Saccharomyces cerevisiae S288C: one gene and its partner. The protein of the gene in region 2 interacts with the protein of the main gene of each other region in a biochemical or structural test. Each region holds a gene or a part of one and is shown on either strand. Other genes may lie near its edges.

Region 1 (4,943 bases), on a different chromosome or scaffold from region 2:
TAGTTGAGCTTGTGAGGTTGCTAGCGCAGTATCCAGATGTCCTTAGACGAGCATTCGAAACTCAAGAGCCGGCCACGATTGTAACATATTTATTCAAAGTTTGCCATCAGGTCTCCTCGTGCTATAAAAAAATATGGGTTTCCGGAAAACCTGCAGATATTGCCATACCGCGACTCGCCGTATATTCAGCAAGTAGACAAGTGTTACACAATGCAATGTCGCTTTTGGGACTAGTCCCGGTTGATAGAATGTAATTATATGAATAAGCTAGCAAATGCTAGATTAATTTAGATTAAGTTTAACCAATTTATAAACATGTAAATAGAAGAAAGTTTATTGTTACGTACAACGTGATATTTTCCGATTTTCCTTTAATTGATTCTTGAATAACCCACCTACCGTTAGTTGAAATAGAAACAAAGAAGAAGGATATGCAAGTTTATATTGGACAACATAACCAATAGAAGATGGATCCAAGTTTAGTTTTAGAGCAAACGATACAAGATGTGTCCAACCTCCCATCAGAATTTCGTTACCTCTTAGAGGAGATCGGTTCAAATGATTTGAAGCTCATCGAAGAAAAAAAGAAATACGAGCAAAAAGAATCACAAATACACAAATTTATAAGACAGCAAGGCTCAATACCGAAACATCCACAGGAAGATGGGCTTGACAAAGAAATAAAAGAATCACTTTTGAAATGTCAGTCTTTGCAAAGAGAAAAATGCGTTCTGGCGAACACTGCCTTGTTTCTAATTGCTAGACACTTGAATAAGTTGGAAAAAAACATCGCTTTATTGGAGGAAGATGGTGTTCTAGCCCCCGTGGAAGAAGATGGAGACATGGATAGCGCTGCTGAAGCCTCTAGAGAAAGTTCAGTTGTGAGTAACAGTAGCGTGAAAAAGAGAAGAGCTGCATCAAGCTCAGGATCCGTTCCACCCACTTTGAAAAAGAAAAAAACTAGTCGAACATCTAAACTGCAAAATGAAATTGACGTTTCTTCAAGAGAAAAGTCTGTTACTCCAGTGAGCCCAAGCATTGAAAAGAAGATTGCAAGAACAAAAGAATTCAAAAACAGTAGAAATGGTAAAGGCCAAAACGGTTCCCCTGAAAACGAGGAAGAGGACAAAACTTTATACTGCTTCTGTCAAAGAGTTTCGTTTGGAGAAATGGTTGCATGTGATGGACCCAACTGTAAATATGAATGGTTTCATTATGATTGTGTAAATTTAAAAGAACCTCCGAAAGGAACATGGTACTGTCCCGAATGTAAAATTGAGATGGAAAAAAACAAACTGAAAAGAAAACGTAACTGAACAAAAATACCTTTTTGAGACTGAATGACCTCATTTACACTAATAATATTCCATAAGCCAGAAACGGTGATTGCTATTCTGACAATGTGCTTTTCGAAAAGGAGAAGTAATTTCGAGACATCAGCTAGCAAGGACATATACGATTGACATTTTTGAATGTACTTTCAAATACTTGTGAATCAAACTAAGATATGATTCCTGCATATTCAGGTATATACTATATATTTTAATTTCATTAGCATATGTGTCATACGGTTTTTAAAACTTATGAGCAGGAAAAAGGTGTCACGTGATCAGATGGTCTTTTTTTCAAACTTTGACGTCGGAATTTTTTGTAGTGAAAAATTTTTCGAGATGAGGAAAGGAAGAAAAAATTAATTTGTTAGCCTTATAACGTGAGCACCTTTTCGATAGAGTATCTGATTGCTCTCTTCTACCAAAAGATCACCTGAGGATAATTTTTAACCAAAAGAAAATAATGAGTTTCAGAGGAGGTAATAGAGGTGGCCGTGGCGGCTTCCGTGGCGGCTTTCGTGGTGGACGTACAGGCAGTGCTAGATCATTTCAACAAGGACCACCAGACACTGTTCTAGAAATGGGAGCTTTTCTACATCCATGTGAGGGTGATATTGTTTGCCGTTCTATCAACACTAAGATTCCATATTTCAATGCGCCAATATATTTGGAAAACAAGACTCAAGTCGGTAAAGTTGACGAAATATTGGGTCCATTAAACGAAGTATTTTTCACTATCAAGTGTGGTGACGGTGTCCAAGCAACCAGTTTTAAAGAAGGTGATAAATTCTACATTGCCGCTGACAAACTATTGCCTATTGAAAGATTTTTACCTAAGCCTAAGGTGGTAGGCCCACCAAAACCAAAAAACAAGAAGAAGAGAAGTGGTGCCCCAGGTGGCCGTGGTGGTGCTTCAATGGGTCGCGGTGGTAGCAGAGGAGGTTTCAGAGGAGGCCGTGGTGGTAGTTCTTTCAGAGGAGGCCGTGGTGGCAGTTCTTTCAGAGGTGGATCTCGTGGCGGATCATTTAGAGGAGGATCTCGTGGCGGATCTCGTGGTGGTTTCAGAGGAGGTAGAAGATAATCTAGCTAGAAAAAAATAAAAAAAAAAACCATCCTTTATCTTTCACAATTCTTCATTTCTTCCAACTTACTATATCTGCCGAAGCACGTCTAACGTCGAAAAAAAAAAAAAGAAATTACCGTTTGTTCTGTATACTATATATATATATATTTGTTTGATTGATTTACCTGTAATAAATTGATTTAAAATGAAAAAAAGAGAAATTCAGTAATACCAGAAGCCGCCGTAGTTAAACAAACGACCACGGTTCTTACGGTTGTCTTAATATTATATCCATACAAAGTTTACGAATGGAACACTATAAATAAAACTTTTTCTTTTCTTTGTCCATCTCAGGTTTATGCTCCCATTCAGTTTCTTCCTTAATACCCCTTTGCAATCTTTTCAACTTGAGGGTAAATTGTGGACCCAGTTCTTGCAAACCAACCCTTTCATTATCTTTGAAGACATACCGATGCCTTCTGAAGAAAATGTAATCTCTTTGATTATGTAGGGTGATAACTTGTCGACCTTCAATATCAGGATTCTGAGGTAAAATGGACTGAAACAACCTACCTACTGTTTGACCCAATCTGGTCTGGAAATTATTTAGAATCAATTCTGGAATATGGCTAGTTGGTCTACCATGACCGACAATTTTCTTCACTTCAACAAATGATGATAATTTAAAATAAAAAGTTGGGCCCTCTGGCAGATGTATGAATGTTAGGCCAGTAACCTTTTTCTTGTCCTCGTTGATTATCACGATGTCAGTGAAATTCCTTTTTATACAAATATCAGATATTTCCTTCAATTTGTAGCCAAATTTTCTTTTCACAAATGTGACGTTTGGTAAAATTTCGATTAAAATGTTAGCAAATTCATAAGCGCTCTTCTTAGCGTTTACATTTGTGGTCAGAAAGATCTTTGGTGGCTCATTAGAATTGCTGTTGAAGTATCTCATCAAATCGTCTTCATCTCCCTCCACTTCCTTGTTAATGGTCTCATCGTACACTCTAGTGTTCTCTATCGTCTGTGTTACGTTCTCTTTTAATCTCTGCTCCCGCAGCTCCGGATTCTCTCTCTCTTCCTTAGCTCTCTTTCTTCTCATGGTATGGCGCTCTTTATTTTTTTCATGTTTTATATCAGCAAAAATTTCTTGCCTCTTTAGCTTGTTTGTGATGTTTATCTCATTACCGAGAGCCATTTTTTAGTATTTCAATATATTAAGCCTGCTTTACCTCTTCCTTAGGTGTTCAATCGTAAAGTATAGCTTATGGCATCGCATTTCTTTTTACATCTCATCGCTAAAAATTTTACTTTTCCTTTGTATAAATAATCATGTGTGACGAACGCGAAAATGAAAAATGCACTGAATTAAATGTATACAACGTTATATAGATCGTAAATATGTATATTGAAATATACACCTTTTTGTTCTTTCTACTACTGTAAAAGAAGAATGCATGCGTTATGACAGGGCAGCACGCCAATTTAACTTATTGCATATTTCAATGCAGGCTGTCCAGACAGAAGGAAAAGCTACTCAATTGTAGGCTTTGGTTCCGGCGTTACCCCCTTTGGTTTTGAGACTAGAGGTGGTAGAGTTTGGCTTACCATTTCTCAATATCAAATCGATAACTTCTTCGATCTTCTTGCCCTTACCGAACTCATTTTCCACTTGGGCCTTGGAGGCAGCGCCCAACTCACCCTCGGCACCCCTACCGTCCTGAGGAGTGAAAACTTCGAAGAGTTCGACAACTTCAGATAGCTTACCAATTGATGGATTTTTCAAATATTCGTCTACAAGCTCTTCGGATGCAGCGAAGACAATCAAATCTGTATTTTCACCCTTGTAAAAGTATTTGGTTACAGTAGACATGTTGATTTTATTTTGTGTATGCGATGGTTTTCTTATTTTTATCAGCTTGTTCAAAGTATGAATTTGTTGATAGCTGCTTTTTTATTAGTCAAGAATTGAGTTTAAAGAACATTGGCTTGTGATCATCATCGAAATTGATTCTCATCACTTAAATATCTTTTGCTCCCTGTTTCTGGCGATCCCTTCGACTAAATAAGGGGTCGTTGTTGTTACGTACGGCCCAACAGGGTAGTGCCTGCTCTAGCGTCGAAGTTAGAGGAAAAGAAGCTTAGAGAATAAAAACATTTACTAGTAGTAAGGGGTCTTATTGTCAGAAAGGGACAATTGCGTGGGCAGTATTTTCAAAGAGTGGCTTTCTTCTTCTGAACGGAGTTTCAACCTGCGCTTTCTTTTCCTCCTGCTAGGATTTATTTGTGAGAAAACGAAACTAGCTATAGAAACGCGTAGCACCGGCAGGCCGAAAACCGCTACTACGTAAAGGGGAATGAAAATGGGCCAAATTTGGTGTAAAGATATAGGAGAAGAGACACGGAGTAGGAATTCGCCGTGCCCCTATACAGAGACAACATGAATAGAGAGACAAACGCATTACGTAGTCTTGGAAGATAGCGCAACGGGAAATCTTGACACAGTAAGAAACATTTACAGTATAATAATACTAAAAATAAAA
Region 2 (8,245 bases):
CATCTTGAAGGTTGCTGAAATTGAAAAGACTGCTGACGTCAAGAGACAATACGTTAAGCAATTTTTGACCAAGGACTTGAAATTCCCATTGCCTCACAGAGTCCAAAAATCCACCAAGACTTTCTCCTACAAGAGACCTTCCACTTTCTACTGAACTGTGCATATTTGAATTTTAAGATATAAAATATTTTTCTGATACTTTAATAGTTTATTTTTATGTATTATCAATTCTGTAGAATTTAATAATTTCAACATTTCATGAACGGCCAGAGGTAAATGGGTAAGGCTTCCTTTCAAAGAATCTATAGATATTAAGGTTTGCATGAAGTAAATAGCTGATAACCTTAGTACAATTAGAACAAGTTGAGACAAATAGGAAGCACCCCAGCATAAGAGCAATATCCTCAGAAAAAAAAAAAATGACTAAGCTAAATAATTAATTTTTTTAAAAAAAACTTATAGTACAATACACGCTAATGTTTGGCAACTGGGGTTTCACCAGTCATTCTGGCGACAAATTCCTTCGCCATATCACCAAAACCAACCATGAAGACAGTTTGCCAGATACCTAAACCAATTCTTGGGGTGACACCACGGTAAAGACCCTTTAGACCATTTGATTGATAGATGTATTTAAATGTCTTACCAACAGTCAAATTTTTTGGTCTGTTTGGATCTTCCTTCTTAGATTGCATTTCAACTCTAATGACTTCGATTGGTTGATTCCAAGCACTTAAACCACCACCTAAAGCACTGGCACCAATTTTCTCGAACGGATTCAACTTGTCGTCTTTATTGGTTTTCCCGGTGATCTTTCTGATACCATCTTCCACTAGTCTGGACAAACCAAAACGAGAACCCCAGTTGGTCATTTGTCTAATAGCAACAGCATTAACACCCTTATTAATACCTCTAATACCTTCCTTTTTATAAATATTCTTGAACACACTCCAAGAAGATTGTGGGACACCACCTGCGGAGGCAGATTTATGTCTTGTAATTTCCACCGTTTTCATACAGGTACAGAACCCCATGGTTAAGTAGGCTTGAGTGACACCACCCGTGACACCACCTAATATACCTGAGGCAAAGTTGTTCAACCCCAAACTTTTGAAACGATACTCAGCCTCAGCTGACACGAACAGCAACACAGCACCTTTAGTGGAGGCTTCGATCCATGCCCATGGAATCAAACCTTGGTAGTAACCCAAGATACCACCTCTTGACCAGACATGCTTAACAGATTCTAAAAATGTGAAGTTTCTGTTTGCAGCCATTGTGGTCTTAACAACCTCCAAAGGTTGCCCTAATGTAGTCACCTCTGACAAGTTTAAACAGGCACCCAATAGGATATTAGAAAACGAGACTGGCTTTTTTTCTATTACGTTTGCTGCAGCAGTATTAGTGGTAGATGGCATAGCTATAATGACGTCGGGCTTTTCCTAGCTTTATTTGTACAAAAGACTTATATAAAAAGATTGTATCAGCGCTGTTTATATCTCAATGAAAGTAGATATATATACCGTAAGCGAGTTGAAACAATGACTTGAGGTGGGCAGCTTCGGACTTTTTGCAAAATTCAAATCCGAATATCTAGAAGATTGTATTGACAGCGTTTTTTAAATGTCCGTAGATTTCTCGAGATATATAAATGTTACAGAAGGTAAGATCCATGCAAGAGGCTAATGCGTTTTTCTTTTTTTTTTTTAGAGTGCGATATCTTGTCATAAGTTTACACAATGGGACAAAGGAAGCTAAAACATGAGTGCAAAAGAAGGGCCCATGTTTGTCGCCCTATGCATTTAGCCAATCATCTTTTTTTTTTGCGTGATCTTTATCAATCGTGATTCTCTGCCTTCTGAGTGAAAAAAGTCATGATCTTCGCGTTATTGCAGCGGAATTTGCCGACAGGACCTAGGTCTTGAGAAAGAAAAGTGATAGGGTAAGTAATGGAAGAAGAGGGCACAGGTCCAATCACGCAGCTTCATTACAGGGCTATAATTGCAAGAATAATAACTTTCAACCATATAGAAATCCAATACAGTATATTGGTATTGTTTAGAAAGGTATTAAGAAGGCAGTAGCATACAGAGTATATATCTATAGGCAGAGCATCAGATCATAAAGATAGTGGTGAAATGGCTAGAACCAAAAGTAGGAAGCGTTCCGGAAATAACCAAAATAAGAATGCGTCTGTGGTAAATAATAAGGCTGAGATCGCCGCCATGATTGATGCAAGAAGGCTTGAGCAAAAGAAAAAGGGTGGGGTGACTAACAGCAAAGGAAAGACGAATAAGGTAGTGGATGCGAAGTTAGAAAAAGAGTTCAAAGACGTTTTACAACGATTTCAAGTGCAAGAGAATGATACGCCGAAGGAAATCACGAAAGATGAAAAGAACAATCATGTCGTTATTGTTGAGAAAAACCCAGTTATGAACAGAAAGCATACAGCAGAAGATGAATTGGAGGATACACCCTCGGATGGTATTGAGGAGCATCTATCGGCAAGAAAACGTAGGAAGACTGAAAAACCTTCACTTTCGCAGTTAAAAAGCCAGGTACCGTATCCTCAAATTATAGAATGGTACGATTGTGACGCAAGATATCCAGGCTTACTAGCGTCAATTAAGTGCACCAAAAATGTCATTCCTGTTCCAAGCCACTGGCAGTCCAAGAAGGAATATCTATCTGGCCGTTCTCTGTTAGGTAAAAGACCTTTTGAACTTCCTGACATTATCAAGAAGACAAATATAGAACAAATGAGATCGACGCTTCCGCAAAGCGGACTGGATGGTCAAGATGAAAAGTCACTAAAGGAGGCCTCAAGAGCAAGAGTGCAGCCGAAAATGGGCGCCTTGGATTTGGATTACAAGAAGTTACACGATGTGTTTTTCAAGATAGGAGCCAACTGGAAACCTGACCATTTGTTATGCTTCGGTGACGTCTATTATGAAAATAGGAATCTTTTCGAGGAAACGAACTGGAAAAGAATGGTTGATCATAAGAGACCGGGGAGAATTAGCCAAGAGCTTCGTGCCATAATGAATTTACCCGAAGGTCAACTACCACCATGGTGTATGAAGATGAAAGACATTGGATTACCTACGGGATATCCTGATCTGAAAATTGCCGGCTTGAATTGGGATATAACGAATTTAAAAGGCGACGTTTACGGAAAAATAATCCCTAATCACCATTCAAGGTCCAAGAAACAGGGTAGAAACTATTTTGGCGCATTGATCTCATTTGAAACCCCTGAATTTGAAAATTCAAAAGAGGATACACAGGCGAATGCGGAAAATGGGCGCCAAGATGACAAAATCGATGATGAAGTAGAGCATAAGTTAGATCACTTCCAGGAAGACATATCCGAAGTGACAAGCGCAGAAGAAAAACTTGAGAGAAACGAAGAGGAATCGGAGAAGCAACTATATACTGTATTGAAATAACTACTAAATATCGCATAGGTACTTCAGTTTTACAAAATTTTACATGTGGTACTATTTCTCACGTACGAGTTTTTTTCTTTTTTAAATGCGGCCCTAAACCATGCTGAAATTTTTCATGAGCTCATCGCAAAATTTATCTCATTATCAGGTCATATAGTCACTCTCAGGAGAATCCTGCTCGATCAAAGTGAGGCAAGTAAATGCGCATATAGAAGAGAGCAAAACTGTCCTATTTACAAGCTTTTCAAAACAATGGGCTCAAAAGTAGCAGGTAAAAAGAAAACCCAGAATGATAATAAACTAGATAACGAAAATGGTTCACAGCAGCGCGAAAATATCAATACCAAGACGCTTTTGAAAGGCAACCTTAAGATATCAAATTACAAATATCTTGAGGTGATTCAACTAGAACATGCTGTGACAAAATTGGTGGAGTCTTACAATAAAATAATTGAACTTTCACCAAATTTGGTAGCTTACAATGAAGCCGTTAACAATCAAGATAGAGTGCCTGTTCAGATACTTCCTTCTCTATCACGTTATCAATTAAAACTGGCAGCTGAATTAAAAACCTTACATGATCTTAAAAAAGACGCAATTTTGACAGAAATTACTGATTATGAAAATGAATTTGATACTGAACAAAAGCAACCTATATTGCAAGAAATCAGTAAAGCTGATATGGAAAAGTTAGAGAAGCTAGAACAAGTTAAAAGGGAAAAGCGAGAGAAAATAGATGTAAATGTGTACGAAAATTTAAATGAAAAGGAAGATGAAGAAGAAGACGAAGGAGAAGATAGCTATGACCCAACAAAGGCTGGTGATATCGTCAAGGCAACAAAATGGCCTCCAAAATTACCAGAGATTCAAGATTTAGCGATTAGGGCCAGGGTATTTATTCACAAATCCACAATAAAGGATAAAGTTTACTTGTCTGGATCAGAAATGATCAACGCACATAATGAAAGACTAGAATTCCTAGGCGATTCGATCTTAAATTCTGTTATGACATTAATTATTTATAACAAGTTTCCCGATTACAGCGAGGGTCAGTTATCAACATTAAGGATGAATTTGGTAAGCAACGAACAGATCAAACAATGGTCAATAATGTACAATTTCCATGAGAAACTTAAGACAAATTTTGACTTGAAGGATGAAAATTCCAATTTTCAAAACGGCAAACTAAAACTGTATGCAGATGTGTTCGAAGCTTACATTGGCGGCTTGATGGAAGATGATCCAAGGAATAATTTGCCCAAAATAAGAAAATGGTTAAGAAAGCTTGCCAAACCTGTCATTGAGGAGGCTACCCGTAATCAAGTTGCCTTGGAGAAGACGGATAAACTTGATATGAATGCTAAAAGGCAGCTTTACTCTTTGATTGGCTATGCTTCATTACGTCTACATTATGTTACCGTAAAAAAACCCACTGCAGTTGATCCTAATTCCATAGTTGAGTGCAGAGTAGGTGATGGAACAGTTTTAGGGACCGGTGTGGGCAGAAATATCAAAATTGCGGGTATTAGGGCTGCAGAAAATGCTCTTCGTGACAAAAAAATGTTAGATTTTTACGCCAAACAAAGAGCTGCCATTCCTAGGAGTGAATCTGTGTTAAAAGATCCCTCACAAAAGAATAAGAAAAGAAAATTCTCAGATACAAGCTGAAACGTTCCTTTTACACAACCATGATGGAACTTGCATTGATTTTCTTTAGCCATATAATTATCGCATATATGTCATTCATAAAACGTTTATAAAACATTAGAATATTTGATATATTTGAATATTTGATAAAAAATTTGATAATTTTTGGGATTCCATTGTTGGTCAAAGCTATAAAATTATGTATGTACTAGAAGTTCTCCTCGAGGGTATAGAAATCCTTAAAATGGAATCGGTATCTTACCATAAATGTTCCACTAGAATGTCATCAGATGAAAAAGACGAAAGAAACATATGACTAGCTCGCGTGGCGTAATGGCAACGCGTCTGACTTCTAATCAGAAGATTATGGGTTCGACCCCCATCGTGAGTGTTTTTTAGTATTTTTTTTAAAAACAATTGTTCCTCTCTAAATTTTAATCAGTTTTTGATCATGAAGGGTTTTGTATGTAGCACATAAACATTTTTACTGAAAGAAAAGGATAGCCTAAATATTAGAATACAATAAAATTTTTTTGAGCCTAGTTTGACACATTTAAAACAGCATCCACACAGCCCCACCAGTTAGCACACTCAGTATGACTGCTGTGATGATAGCGGCACCAGCGCGATCACCTTTCTTAATGTTTAAATTGTTTTGTAGCACGTTAGTGGTCGATGAGTTCATACCGGCATTCGCGTCACCTTTTGACGTACCGCCATTATCTTCCTTATATGGAGCTGGCCTGTCATGAATTAAAAGATTTTGAATAACTTCTAGAGCACTCATTTGCTCACCTAATCCATAGTAGCCATCATTGGTTTGTTTCTGCCAATTTAAACCACATGTATGCCCATCTGTACCACCATTACATGATTTTGCAGCGGCCTCAGCACTTGTTTTTATCAAATCATCAATTGTGTCCCTAGTAAAGGGAGCCATGACACTTGTAAGACCAAGCATACGAGAAAAAATACTTTTGAATGTTCTTTGATCGGTGTTACAGGTGCCATAGTCTTGACAAGCGCTTTCGTACATAATACTATCTTTGAAGAAATAAGATTTAGCACCATTTAGAATTTTTGTCAAACTGGTCTCCCATTCACCTGTTCCATTTGTAGCATTATACATGTATGCAAGACCACCAAGCACGATACCGTGATTATAAGTCCATTCAATTTTTGTAATATCAGTGCAATTTGTATCAATTTCAGCACCATCAAAGACATTTGCAGTATCGTTAAGAACCACATACCCGACATCCACTAGCCAGTCGAAAACCTGTTCAGCAACCTCCAAATATGTAGTGTTACCAGTATATCTGCCCAACCTCGCCGCAATCTGGAACAAACATGCATTTGAAACTGTATTTTTATAATTATAACCACTATTCCAAGTGAAAATTTGCCATCTCAGACCACCGCCACAGTGCTCTGAATCCCATCTTGAGTACATGGTGTTGAAAACAGCTTGTACCATTGCCAACCAACCTGGCTTGCCGTCACCGGGGTCTGTAAAATTTCTCTCGACAGCACCCATAACAGTAATACCCCAAATACCTTGGTCATCATTCCCCTCAACCATCGTTTGGTTGGACGGGATATAATCGTAATTGGAACCAGTTTGCGCTAATAGTGCATCGTATAGTAATTCTTGATATGTATCATTCTCACAAAGAAACCAATTTTCCAACATGCCACCAAATGCTTCCCCTGCATGCCACCAATAGTATGGTGACTGAAACATCCCAACGGTACCACCGTATCTAGTACCCTCATAGTAATCCAGCATACCACCTTGAATTAACGCTGTCGCATCACAAATTGACGTTTTGCTAGTAGTATCCAAATCCATGGCATGAGTGGCTTTAAAAAATGACAGAAACGTAAAGCATATCGATAAGATCATCTTCGCACTAATATTGACGATCATATCTGCGTTCTGGATATGATTTCGTTCTAATTTGTTCGTCCTATATAACAACCAAAAATTAATAAAGGTGATTCAAAATGAGATAAAGGACAATGTACACAGTCAATTACTTAATTAGATATTTGAGTAAAGCTGATCTTTTGGAGAAATGGGCTTTTCATTAATTTACATTCTATTTTTGGGTTATACTCAGTTTCGCTTTACGCGGATTACATTGTTTTTTTTTCGGGCGTGGCTCAGATTGTGAAAAAGAAATTAAACAATTTAAGATTACGGTTATCGCATTAGAGGCAGAATAACTTGAAAATGGGAAATTCCCCAAGAAGGTGACCTATACATGACAATGCCAGGATATCATACATAAAATACATAACCCGTTTCTTGTTAATTGATTTCTTTCACCTTTTTATTGATTGTATTCATCTTTTTCTAATTATCGAAAGTGTCATTCGTGAAATTCTTCAGAAAATTTAGAATGTTATCGTCAATCAATTGGGCTACTGGGTCAGAAAATCTAGAGGCAATTTCATTATGTACTTTAGTAATGCCCATATCTTGTACTGCAACACTCAGAGCATCTATTAATATTATTGAGAACTCGATGTACCAACGATGATTCCAGCAACAAATCTTGACTACTAGATCGATGATTGAGCTGTCGATGTCATTGATACTTGACAATATTTGAGAAGAGGTTAACTCGGAGTTTGCTGAGACTGAATCCCTCCTAATACGCTTATGCTCGTCAATGTAAAACTGTAATAGATTCTTTGCGCATACTGGAGAAAATCTTTGGGAAAGCCCAATTTGGAAAGCCTTCGCAGCTTCTGGAAGATGTCCCAGTCTTTTCGCACAAAGGCCGAATAATTCCCATTCAACAGTTAATTTGTGATATTTACTGTTTTGAGCATCAAAATACAATTGCTCTGATTGCCAATCGGTGTAAGTTTTCAAATCTTCGTATAGTAACATGAAGAGATTATCCAACCATCTTTCGCATAGCCTCTTTGATCTCATTTTGGATATATCATTACCGCGAACTTCTGCTTCATCAATGGAAGAAGTGGAGCCTTGGTACTCGTCTTCCATAACGAAAATTTTTGATCTATATTTCAACAGCTGCTCCCATCCTGTTATTTGGACAATTTCTGTCAATAATTTATAGGCTAGTTGGAAAGTAGACTTTAAACTTGACGCAGAGAGATTGACTAGGTTTGGA

What was found.
Region 1: the proteins of RNT1 (region 2) and GAR1 form a complex in vitro, tested with the Saccharomyces cerevisiae proteins (one study listed by BioGRID).

What each region holds. Positions count from the first base shown.
Region 1 is NC_001140.6:280,150-285,092, reverse strand, and holds GAR1 (H/ACA snoRNP pseudouridylase subunit GAR1), read left to right. Parts: upstream 1-1,794; coding exon 1,795-2,412; downstream 2,413-4,943. Other genes in the region: arginine--tRNA ligase MSR1, read left to right, coding at 1-254; histone acetyltransferase YNG2, read left to right, coding at 468-1,316; rRNA-binding ribosome biosynthesis protein RPF1, read right to left, coding at 2,711-3,598; RTC3 (Rtc3p), read right to left, coding at 3,938-4,273; YHR086W-A (uncharacterized protein), read right to left, coding at 4,701-4,862. UniProt on the Saccharomyces cerevisiae protein: Non-catalytic component of the H/ACA small nucleolar ribonucleoprotein (H/ACA snoRNP), which catalyzes pseudouridylation of rRNA and is required for ribosome biogenesis.
Region 2 is NC_001145.3:745,134-753,378, reverse strand, and holds RNT1 (ribonuclease III), read left to right. Parts: upstream 1-3,701; coding exon 3,702-5,117; downstream 5,118-8,245. Other genes in the region: 60S ribosomal protein eL20 RPL20A, read left to right, coding at 1-154; YHM2 (Yhm2p), read right to left, coding at 474-1,418; U2 snRNP complex subunit CUS1, read left to right, coding at 2,139-3,449; DFG5 (putative mannan endo-1,6-alpha-mannosidase), read right to left, coding at 5,650-7,026; BCH1 (exomer complex subunit), read right to left, coding at 7,456-8,245. UniProt on the Saccharomyces cerevisiae protein: DsRNA-specific nuclease that cleaves eukaryotic pre-ribosomal RNA at the U3 snoRNP-dependent A0 site in the 5'-external transcribed spacer (ETS) and in the 3'-ETS. In vitro, cleaves synthetic 5'-ETS RNA A0 site in the absence of snoRNA or other factors.